3 linked regions of the Kluyveromyces lactis genome follow. The protein of the gene in region 1 interacts with the protein of each later gene in a biochemical or structural test. Links are inferred from orthologs where the notes say so. Each region holds a gene or a part of one and is shown in the gene's direction. Other genes may lie near its edges. The genes, in order: GCD6, SUI3 and SUI2.

Region 1 (3,768 bases):
AACATTACGACGAAAATCAACAACAGCCAGGATATCACGACTGATATCTGACAAGCTGCTGCTCAAATTATTCTCTAATACAATTAAAAATGACGTATTTCAAATTTACTTCATGGGCTGTCAAATCTTTACCTAAACCAAATCTTATACGTACGCCATACGGACCCTACACTTCCAGAAATTCTTCCACTATTTGATTTAGTTACTATAATTCTTTTCTCTACTTATCCATATTAAGATAGAATGTGTTAATCAATGTGTGCACTTACATAATTAAACTTACGTTTCGTACTAAACTTAATATCTGTCGCACTGCTTTCATGCTTATTGTTTAAAAGCAAAGCAAAAAAAAAACCCAAAAATCAAAAAAAAATGTCGAATAGCGGAAGCCTCATGGAAATGGCAGTGATAACAAAAATATCACTTAAAGCAGTTAAAAATAAGGTACAACAATTACGTCGACTCCACATACAAAATATATATAAGCAAGAACTCGATCCATCATTTACTCGGACTGTATATTGTTGATATTTTTTTTTTGATATATAATGTCACTTGAAGCATGTTGGGTTTTAATTGTATAAGTTCTTTGCCAACTCCACTCAAGTGAATCAATAGGTCTGTTGTGTTAGCCGTACTGTTCTAATACCAATAGGAAACTGAAAGACCCTATTCTGAAGAACTATCACTAAAAAAATTAATACTATGAGAAATCACAACCAGCCACAGCAAGGCTACTACGCCCAACAACAGCCTGTGTATGTACAGCAACCTCCTCCGAGAGAACGTTCCAGCTGCCTAGGAACATGCTGTAAATGTTTGTTATGTTGGTGTTTGATTGATACTCTATGTAATGTTTGCTGCTAGGTAAATTTTATAATAAACCTCTAAATAGGAATGATATTCTAAACAAAAGTTCAAAGAACCTCTGCTAATTCAATTAATGGTTTATTGAAGGGCCAATTGTGTGTTCATTATGGTTCAAGGTATGCCTTCTTTTGGTAAAAAAAATTATTGGTTCGCAGAATATAAACATCAACAAAAGCAAATAAGACATCATTGAAGCCCCTGTAGCTCAGTGGTTTAGAGCATCGTGCTTATAGTGTGACTCCAATCAATATGGAACATTCTATGAAAATTGGCCCTTCAAAAGGTCGTTTCAAAGCAACGCGATAGTCGTGGGTTCAAACCCCACCAGGGGCATCTATTTTTTTCTCATATTTCAACTATCTTTTTTTTATGGGTTACTATGATGATTCTGATTTTTACACAGAAATTCACGCAGAGCGTTGTATCTGAAATTTTTTTCTTGTCTTGGTTCTTCCTTATTTTCAAATTGAAAGTGAGAAATGACATGAAATTTGAATATTGAACAATCAATTAATTACATATTACACATGATGATGAGTTTATCGAGAAGAGAAAATCATCCAACTTTATCGCTCTGGAAACGCTTAGTCTTTTGGTTAGAACGGGGAAAAAGGTACCCTGTTTATTAATAGTATACTTGTACTCATTTAAGCTTTTTTTGTTTCCAGAGTTTCCCGTAATTTACAATCGAAAGATGAGTGGAAAGAAGACCAAATCTGGTAAAGCCAATCAGAATAAGAAACAAGAGGTTGTTCAAGATGAACGTTTACAAGCGATTGTTTTGACTGACTCGTTTGAGACTAGGTTTATGCCTTTGACTTCGGTGAAACCAAGATGTTTGTTGCCGTTGGCCAACATTCCCTTGATTGAATATACTTTGGAGTTCTTAGCTAAGGCCGGAGTCAACGAAGTTTATCTGATTTGTGCATCGCATGGTGAACAGATCCAGGAATATATCGATCAGTCCAAATGGAGTTTACCATGGGCTCCGTTTAAGGTGAATACCATCATGTCGCTAGAGTCCAGATCTGTTGGAGATGCAATGAGAGATGTCGATAACCGTGGGCTAATTACCGGTGATTTCGTACTTGTTAGTGGTGATTTGGTGACTAATATGGACTTTGAAAAGGCTTTAGATATTCATAAACAAAGGAGAAAGGCTGATAAGGATCATATTGTCACTATGTGCCTAAGTAAAGCGACTCAGTTTCATAAGACAAGGTCTCATGAACCAGCAACGTTCATTTTTGATAAGTCTAATGATAGATGTATTTACTACCAGGATATCCCATTGGCTAGCTCTAGAGAAAAAACTACCATTGATATTGATCCTGAACTTCTGGAAGGTGTTGACGAGTTTGTGTTACGCAACGATTTGATTGATTGCCATGTAGATATCTGTTCTCCTCATGTCCCTGCTATTTTCCAAGAGAATTTCGATTACCAATTCTTGAGAAGAGATTTTGTTAGAGGTGTGCTTTCTAGTGATTTGTTGAAGAAACATATCTACGGGTACATTACCGACGAATACACCACTAGAGCAGAAAGTTGGCAAACGTATGATGCTATCTCGCAAGATTTTATTGCTAGATGGTGTTACCCATTGGTTCTTAATGCCAACCTTTTAAAGGGCCAAACTTATTCATACGAAAGCCAACACATTTATAAGGAAAAAGACGTGGTATTAGCGCAGTCCTGTAAGATAAAGAAAAACACGGCCATCGGCTCAGGATCCAAGATTGGAGAAGGTACAGTCATTGAAAATAGTGTTGTTGGTAGAAATTGTAAAATTGGCTCAAACATCAGAATCAAAAACAGTTACATTTGGGACAATGTTGTCATTGATGATAACACTACAATTGAGCACTCTTTAGTTGCTTCAGATGTTAAATTAGGATCAAACGTCACCTTGAATGATGGTTCCATTATCGGATTCAATGTAGTGATTGACGATAATGTTACAATCCCAGTTGGAACCAAGATTTCAGCGGTTCCAGTACAGAGGAACACAGCTCAATTCTTAGATACAGCACATAATCTTTCTTCCAGCGATGAGGACGAAGAAGGAAGCACATTCACCAGAAATTCATCTTCTTTATCAATCAGTAATTCCGATGAAGTTGCCGATGCGAAGATTAAACTATCTAAGCAGTTGGTTGGGCCAAACGGGAGAGGCGTACTATACGAAAGTGATGATGAGGATGAAGATGAAGATGGATCGACCGAAAAGGGTATTGCGAACACATTAACGTACAGAGACGATGACATTTATTTATCGGATACTTCCATATCATCCATCACTCAAAAACATAGAAAGAGGAGAACCATGTCGATGACTAGTATCTATACTGATTACGAAGGAGAAGAAGACGAAGAAGAAGATTTCGAAAAAGAAGCCATCGCAACAGTTGAAAGAGCTATAGAGAACAACCACGATTTAGACACATCAATGCTTGAACTAAACACTTTGAGAATGAGTATGAACGTCACTTATCATGAAGTCAGGAATGCTTCTGTTATCGCTATATTCAGAAGAGTTTACCACTTTGTAGCCACACAAACACTAGGTCCAAAGGACGCTGTCACTAAAGTCTTACAACAATGGGGTCCTGTGTTTAAGAGACAAGCATTTGATAGTGATGAGTTCATTGATCTAATGAATATCATTCTGGATCGTGTGCTAGATCAGAAATTCGATAAACCAGATTTCATTCTATTCCATGTATATAATGTCTTGTATGATTTGGATATCTTAGAGGAAGATGTCATTTACAAATGGTGGGACTCTGTAAGCGGTGATTCAAAATACAGCGAAGTTACTGCTCTACTGGCCAAATGGGTGGACTGGCTAAAGACTGCAGATGAAGAATCATCTGATGAAGAAGACAGTGACGAAGA
Region 2 (2,506 bases), on another chromosome or scaffold:
TATTGTAAGATGAGTCTACATACAGGACCTTTAGATCAAGAAGATCAAGAAGCTATCATCGTTGATGCAAGAGCTGGAGATTTGGAGTCTCTTAAGGATATTTTTACCACTTTGATAGATCCAAGTGCACTCATTGAATGTACAGATGAATTGTCTAAGTCATCTGCCTTGCATATGGCAGCCGCCAACGGTCATTTCGAGGTGGTAAAATATCTACTAAGCATTTTCCCAAAGGATAAACTAAAGGAATGGGTCAACAAGCAAAACGAAACAGGTAACACTGCATTGCACTGGGCTTCGTTGAATGGTAAATTGGATATAGTACAGCTTCTTTGTGAAGAGTATGAGGCTGATCCATTCATCAGGAATAATTTCGACCATGATGCCATCTACGAAGCTGAAAACAACGGACAAGAAGAGATAGAAACATATTACTTGAAGAAGTTCGACGTGGAACCCGAATCGACCGAAAATGAGGAAGAAACTTCATCGGAAAAGGAAGGAGAACAAGCCTCACAGCCCGCATCTATCGACAACGTCCAATTTAGAGAAGGTACAGAGATTGAACAAGTGACCAAAGAAGCTACAGAAGCTCTAAGAGAGCAAACTGAAAAGCTTCAACTAGAATAAGTTTCCTCTGAAAATGAACCGTGGTCAAAAAAAAATCATTCGGCTGGAAAGCTGTATTGTGGCCAATTTGAGCATAAAATATGAACCAAATGTCCATGTACATAACTGTATACTAATCATCAATAAACATAGGTACACCTACCTCATGCGCCCAACAAGCGGAGTTTTATCTAACCAGACTCAAAGGCCAAAGAATAGATAAGTCACGTGTGTTACCCGAACACTGAACGTGCACAATGACAACACTATCGCGTGGCCTGGGAAAATTTTGAAAATAGTGAGTTTTCGGAAAACCAAGAGAATTGAAACGACTGGATCGCAATTGTCATCGCTATTCAATATCCTATTGGATTCTTCAGCTCATATTTGCACAAGGGTAAGACAACTTCTGTGGAAATCTGTTGGCAAGAGTCTAGTTCGTGTAAAGTTCAAGGCCCTTTCCGTTATTACTAAGGAGATTAGCAAGAAGCGAGAAGATACAAAGATACTCAACGATGACTGATGTTGCGGCCGACTTAGGATTCGATCCAACGATGAAGAAGAAGAAGAGCAAGAAGGTAGTTCCGGAAGAACTGATTGCTGCTTCCACCGAGGGAACAGATGATCTTTTTGCTGGTTTGAAGAAGAAGAAGAAGAAGAGCAAGGAAGGTGAAGAAACCACTGAGAAGCAAGTGGACGACATTTCAGATGCTCTAGGCGAATTGAAGTTGAAGAAAAAGAAGAAGAAGGCTGCTGCTGCCGAGAGCAGTGTGGATGACTTTGAGAAGCAATTAGAACAAGCAGGTATTTCAGTCGATGATATTGCCAAGGAGGCCACTCCAACTGAAATCGATTCTAGCATTCAACAAGATGTTGGCCTACCATACCAAGACCTATTGTCTCGTTTCTTTAAGATTTTGAACACAAATAATCCTGAATTGGCCGGTGATAGATCAGGTCCAAAGTTCAAGATCCCTCCACCAATCTGTCAAAGAGATGGTAAGAAGACTATATTTGCGAACATCCAAGAAATTAGTGAAAAATTACAAAGATCCCCAGAACATGTAATCCAGTATCTATTTGCGGAATTGGGTACCTCAGGTTCTGTTGACGGTCAAAAGAGATTGGTCATCAAGGGTAAGTTCTTGCCAAAGCAAATGGAAAATCTATTAAGAAGGTATATTCTGGAATATGTCACCTGTAAGACTTGTAAGAGTATCAATACCGTATTGAAGAAGGAACAATCGAACAGATTGTTCTTCTTGGTTTGTAAGAGTTGCGGTTCTACTAGATCCGTTTCCTCCATCAAGACCGGTTTCCAAGCCACCGTCGGTAAGAGAAAGAGAATGTAGATTAATTGATATGACGTATCAAAATAGTAGTATCATTAACATCTACCGAAAAATCAGAAAAAACTTCGACAATCTTCTAATGTTCAATACGATACAGTTCGAAAGGAATCAAATAAACCTCATAAGGCATAGCTAATATATTCATGGTTGAATATTTTCTCCAGGGAGCATCGCATCGTGCAATTCACACATAACATATGAATAACACCAAATACTTGAAAAGAAATGAGAATAGAAGGTATCTTCATCCTTCTTTCACGTTCATTATTAATTTTTTTTCTGTTTGTGTATGTTATCTAATGGTTTTTATCTAATCTGTAATTTAGTTGTTATAAACAAAACGACGAGATCAATGCTCTAAAAGATCAATTTAAATTTAAGCTCTATAATCTGAAACCCTTCCCCCAGTTAAAATATCATATCTGTGCATTTTCGATCAATTTACGGAAAGAAGGACACCACGAATTCACCGACATATCCGACAGCATCCATTTTGTAATTAAATCTGTAACCCGTTTTGAATCGTTCAAGTTGGCGAATATTTC
Region 3 (2,383 bases), about 640 kb from region 1:
AAATCGTGTTCCATACTGTATCCCTAATGCCTAACGACGACAAAGCAGATCCAGATCGAACAATGAAAAAAAGACACGTTGGTAATAACTTTATCAACATATATTACGATGAACGAAAACAGGACTCGTTCCCGTTTGACATAATCAAAAGTCAATTCAATTTCATAAACCTTGTCATCAAACCAATGTGGAACGGCAAAGATGAAAAAGACTCTGTGAGTGAATTCTATAAGGTGAAGATTTACAGAGCAAAAGAAGTTCCTGGTATATTCTCTACATCCCACTTCAAAATCATGCATAGGCAGCGCCTCGCAGCGTATGTCAGGCATTTATGTACTGTCGCAAACACATTCGCACAAATTTGGCACGAGTCCGTATCGTCAGAACACTGTTCTACATGGTCTCGCAGATTCGCACACATCAAAACAATCAAAACGAGGCTAAAAAATCAATCTTCTGGCGCTTCTTAGCACGATCGCATCTAGTATGGGTTACTGGTAGTTAGTATCTCTGCAGCTTAATACCTGAGGGCCATTAGTAGTAAGTAATGAAACTTAATTATAATAGTTAGGTCACGTGTAGTACATCACTCTTAACGAGCAGATCTAAAAATTTTTCGAAACTGTGATGCGAAGTATCAAAAAATTGAAAAGATTGATCATTGGAAAGCATATACAATATTGAAGCAACAAAGCAATTTCAATATCGGTATACAAAGGTTTCCAATTAAGCTTCGAACTTACGCGAGCAGTCTCTGATACCGAGGAATTTAATTTATCTGTATCTTGCGATAGATAACGATTACAAACAGAGTATACTTTCTTTGAGTTTGTGGTATATCTTCCAATTGAAAAATTACACAAGAATTTATCATCAGAGCCATTAGATATACAGAGCAGGATGTCCACTTCCAATTGTAGGTTTTACGAGAACAAGTTCCCTGAAGTTGATGATGTTGTGATGGTAAACGTCCAACAAATCGCTGAAATGGGTGCTTACGTTAGATTATTGGAATATGACAACATTGAAGGTATGGTTTTGTTATCTGAATTGTCAAGAAGACGTATTAGATCTATCCAAAAGTTGATTCGTGTTGGTAAGAATGAAGTTGTCGTTGTATTAAGAGTGGATAAGGAGAAGGGTTATATTGATTTGTCTAAGCGTCGTGTTTCTGCAGAAGATGTCATCAAATGTGAAGAAAGATACCAAAAGTCCAAGGCCGTACATTCCATCTTGAGACAATGTGCTGAGAAATACCAAGTATCATTGGAAGATTTGTACAAAGCTTATGCATGGCCTTTAAGTCGAAAGTACGGTCATGCTTACGATGCCTACAAGATGTCCATTGTGGACCCTAACGTTTGGGATGGTATTGAATCTATCAGCGACGAAATTTTCCAAGAATTGAAGGGCCAAATCACCAGAAGATTGACCCCACAAGCGGTCAAGATCAGAGCAGATGTCGAGGTTTCATGTTTCAGTTACGAGGGTATTGATGCTATCAAAGAAGCCCTAAAATCTGCTGAAGAGTTGTCCACTGAACAAATGCAAATCAAAGTCAAATTGGTGGCTGCCCCATTGTACGTCATCACCACCCAATCTTTGGACAAAGATCAAGGTGTTCAACTATTGGAAACTGCTATCGCAAAGATCGAAGAAGTCATTCTAAAGTACAATGGTGTCTGTAATGTCACAATGGCTCCAAAGGCTGTCACCGCCACTGAAGATGCTGAATTACAAGCACTATTAGAATCCAAGGAATTAGAAGGTAGATCAGATTCCGAAGATGAAGACTCCGATTACGAATAGATGGTTTAAAGTGAAACCAAAAAAAAAGGAATTAAAAAGATATACTTCTACTGCTTCCTGTTGTTATACGTGTATACAGCGTTTCGATACCTATAAGTCTTTGCATGTCCTCTCTCCATTTCTTACTTCACTTAACATTGCATTATATTTACTGATGAAGATGAAACAAAAACAAAAGGCCATTTTCTAACAGATGTTCAGGTAATAAACCTATGTTTCCACTTGACTGTGCAGAGAACTACTCTAGCATTTGAACAGGTGGTATCTGCCAATTACTGTCAGCCTTTCCATTCGATTACGACTGGACGTTTTAAAGGATTTTTACATTAGGAAACTCCCATTTTCCTTTTTTCTAGTTTCTTCTTATAATAATAAAGGGAAGCTCCATAAATCCTTATTTTGAAAAAAGAGTGAAAAGTCTTTAAAGTACAACGAAACGAAACTTCTATGTAGTAACATTAGCACATCGGGTATTTCATTTAAACGTGTATAATAAACTAATTCGAACGTCAACGTAATTTGCATTTATTCACAGCCTAGTTGGGATCCTGTATGGTATTTCATCGCTAGGCCA

The links.
Region 2: the proteins of GCD6 (region 1) and SUI3 form a complex in vitro, tested with the Saccharomyces cerevisiae proteins (4 studies listed by BioGRID). The link is inferred for Kluyveromyces lactis from reciprocal best matches to the Saccharomyces cerevisiae genes GCD6 and SUI3.
Region 3: the proteins of GCD6 (region 1) and SUI2 form a complex in vitro, tested with the Saccharomyces cerevisiae proteins (2 studies listed by BioGRID). The link is inferred for Kluyveromyces lactis from reciprocal best matches to the Saccharomyces cerevisiae genes GCD6 and SUI2.

The regions. Positions count from the first base shown.
Region 1 is NC_006037.1:383,282-387,049, reverse strand, and holds the start of GCD6 (translation initiation factor eIF2B catalytic subunit epsilon), read left to right. Parts: upstream 1-1,564; coding exon 1,565-3,768. Other genes in the region: MSS4 (1-phosphatidylinositol-4-phosphate 5-kinase), read left to right, coding at 1-44. UniProt on the Saccharomyces cerevisiae protein: Acts as a catalytic component of the translation initiation factor 2B (eIF2B) complex, which catalyzes the exchange of GDP for GTP on eukaryotic initiation factor 2 (eIF2) and is regulated by phosphorylated eIF2.
Region 2 is NC_006040.1:750,819-753,324, forward strand, and holds SUI3 (translation initiation factor eIF2 subunit beta), read left to right. Parts: upstream 1-1,124; coding exon 1,125-1,961; downstream 1,962-2,506. Other genes in the region: YAR1 (Yar1p), read left to right, coding at 10-630; ADD37 (Add37p), read right to left, coding at 2,378-2,506. UniProt on the Saccharomyces cerevisiae protein: Component of the eIF2 complex that functions in the early steps of protein synthesis by forming a ternary complex with GTP and initiator tRNA.
Region 3 is NC_006037.1:1,020,626-1,023,008, forward strand, and holds SUI2 (translation initiation factor eIF2 subunit alpha), read left to right. Parts: upstream 1-900; coding exon 901-1,809; downstream 1,810-2,383. Other genes in the region: KLLA0_A11792g (uncharacterized protein), read left to right, coding at 1-470. UniProt on the Saccharomyces cerevisiae protein: eIF-2 functions in the early steps of protein synthesis by forming a ternary complex with GTP and initiator tRNA. This complex binds to a 40S ribosomal subunit, followed by mRNA binding to form a 43S pre-initiation complex.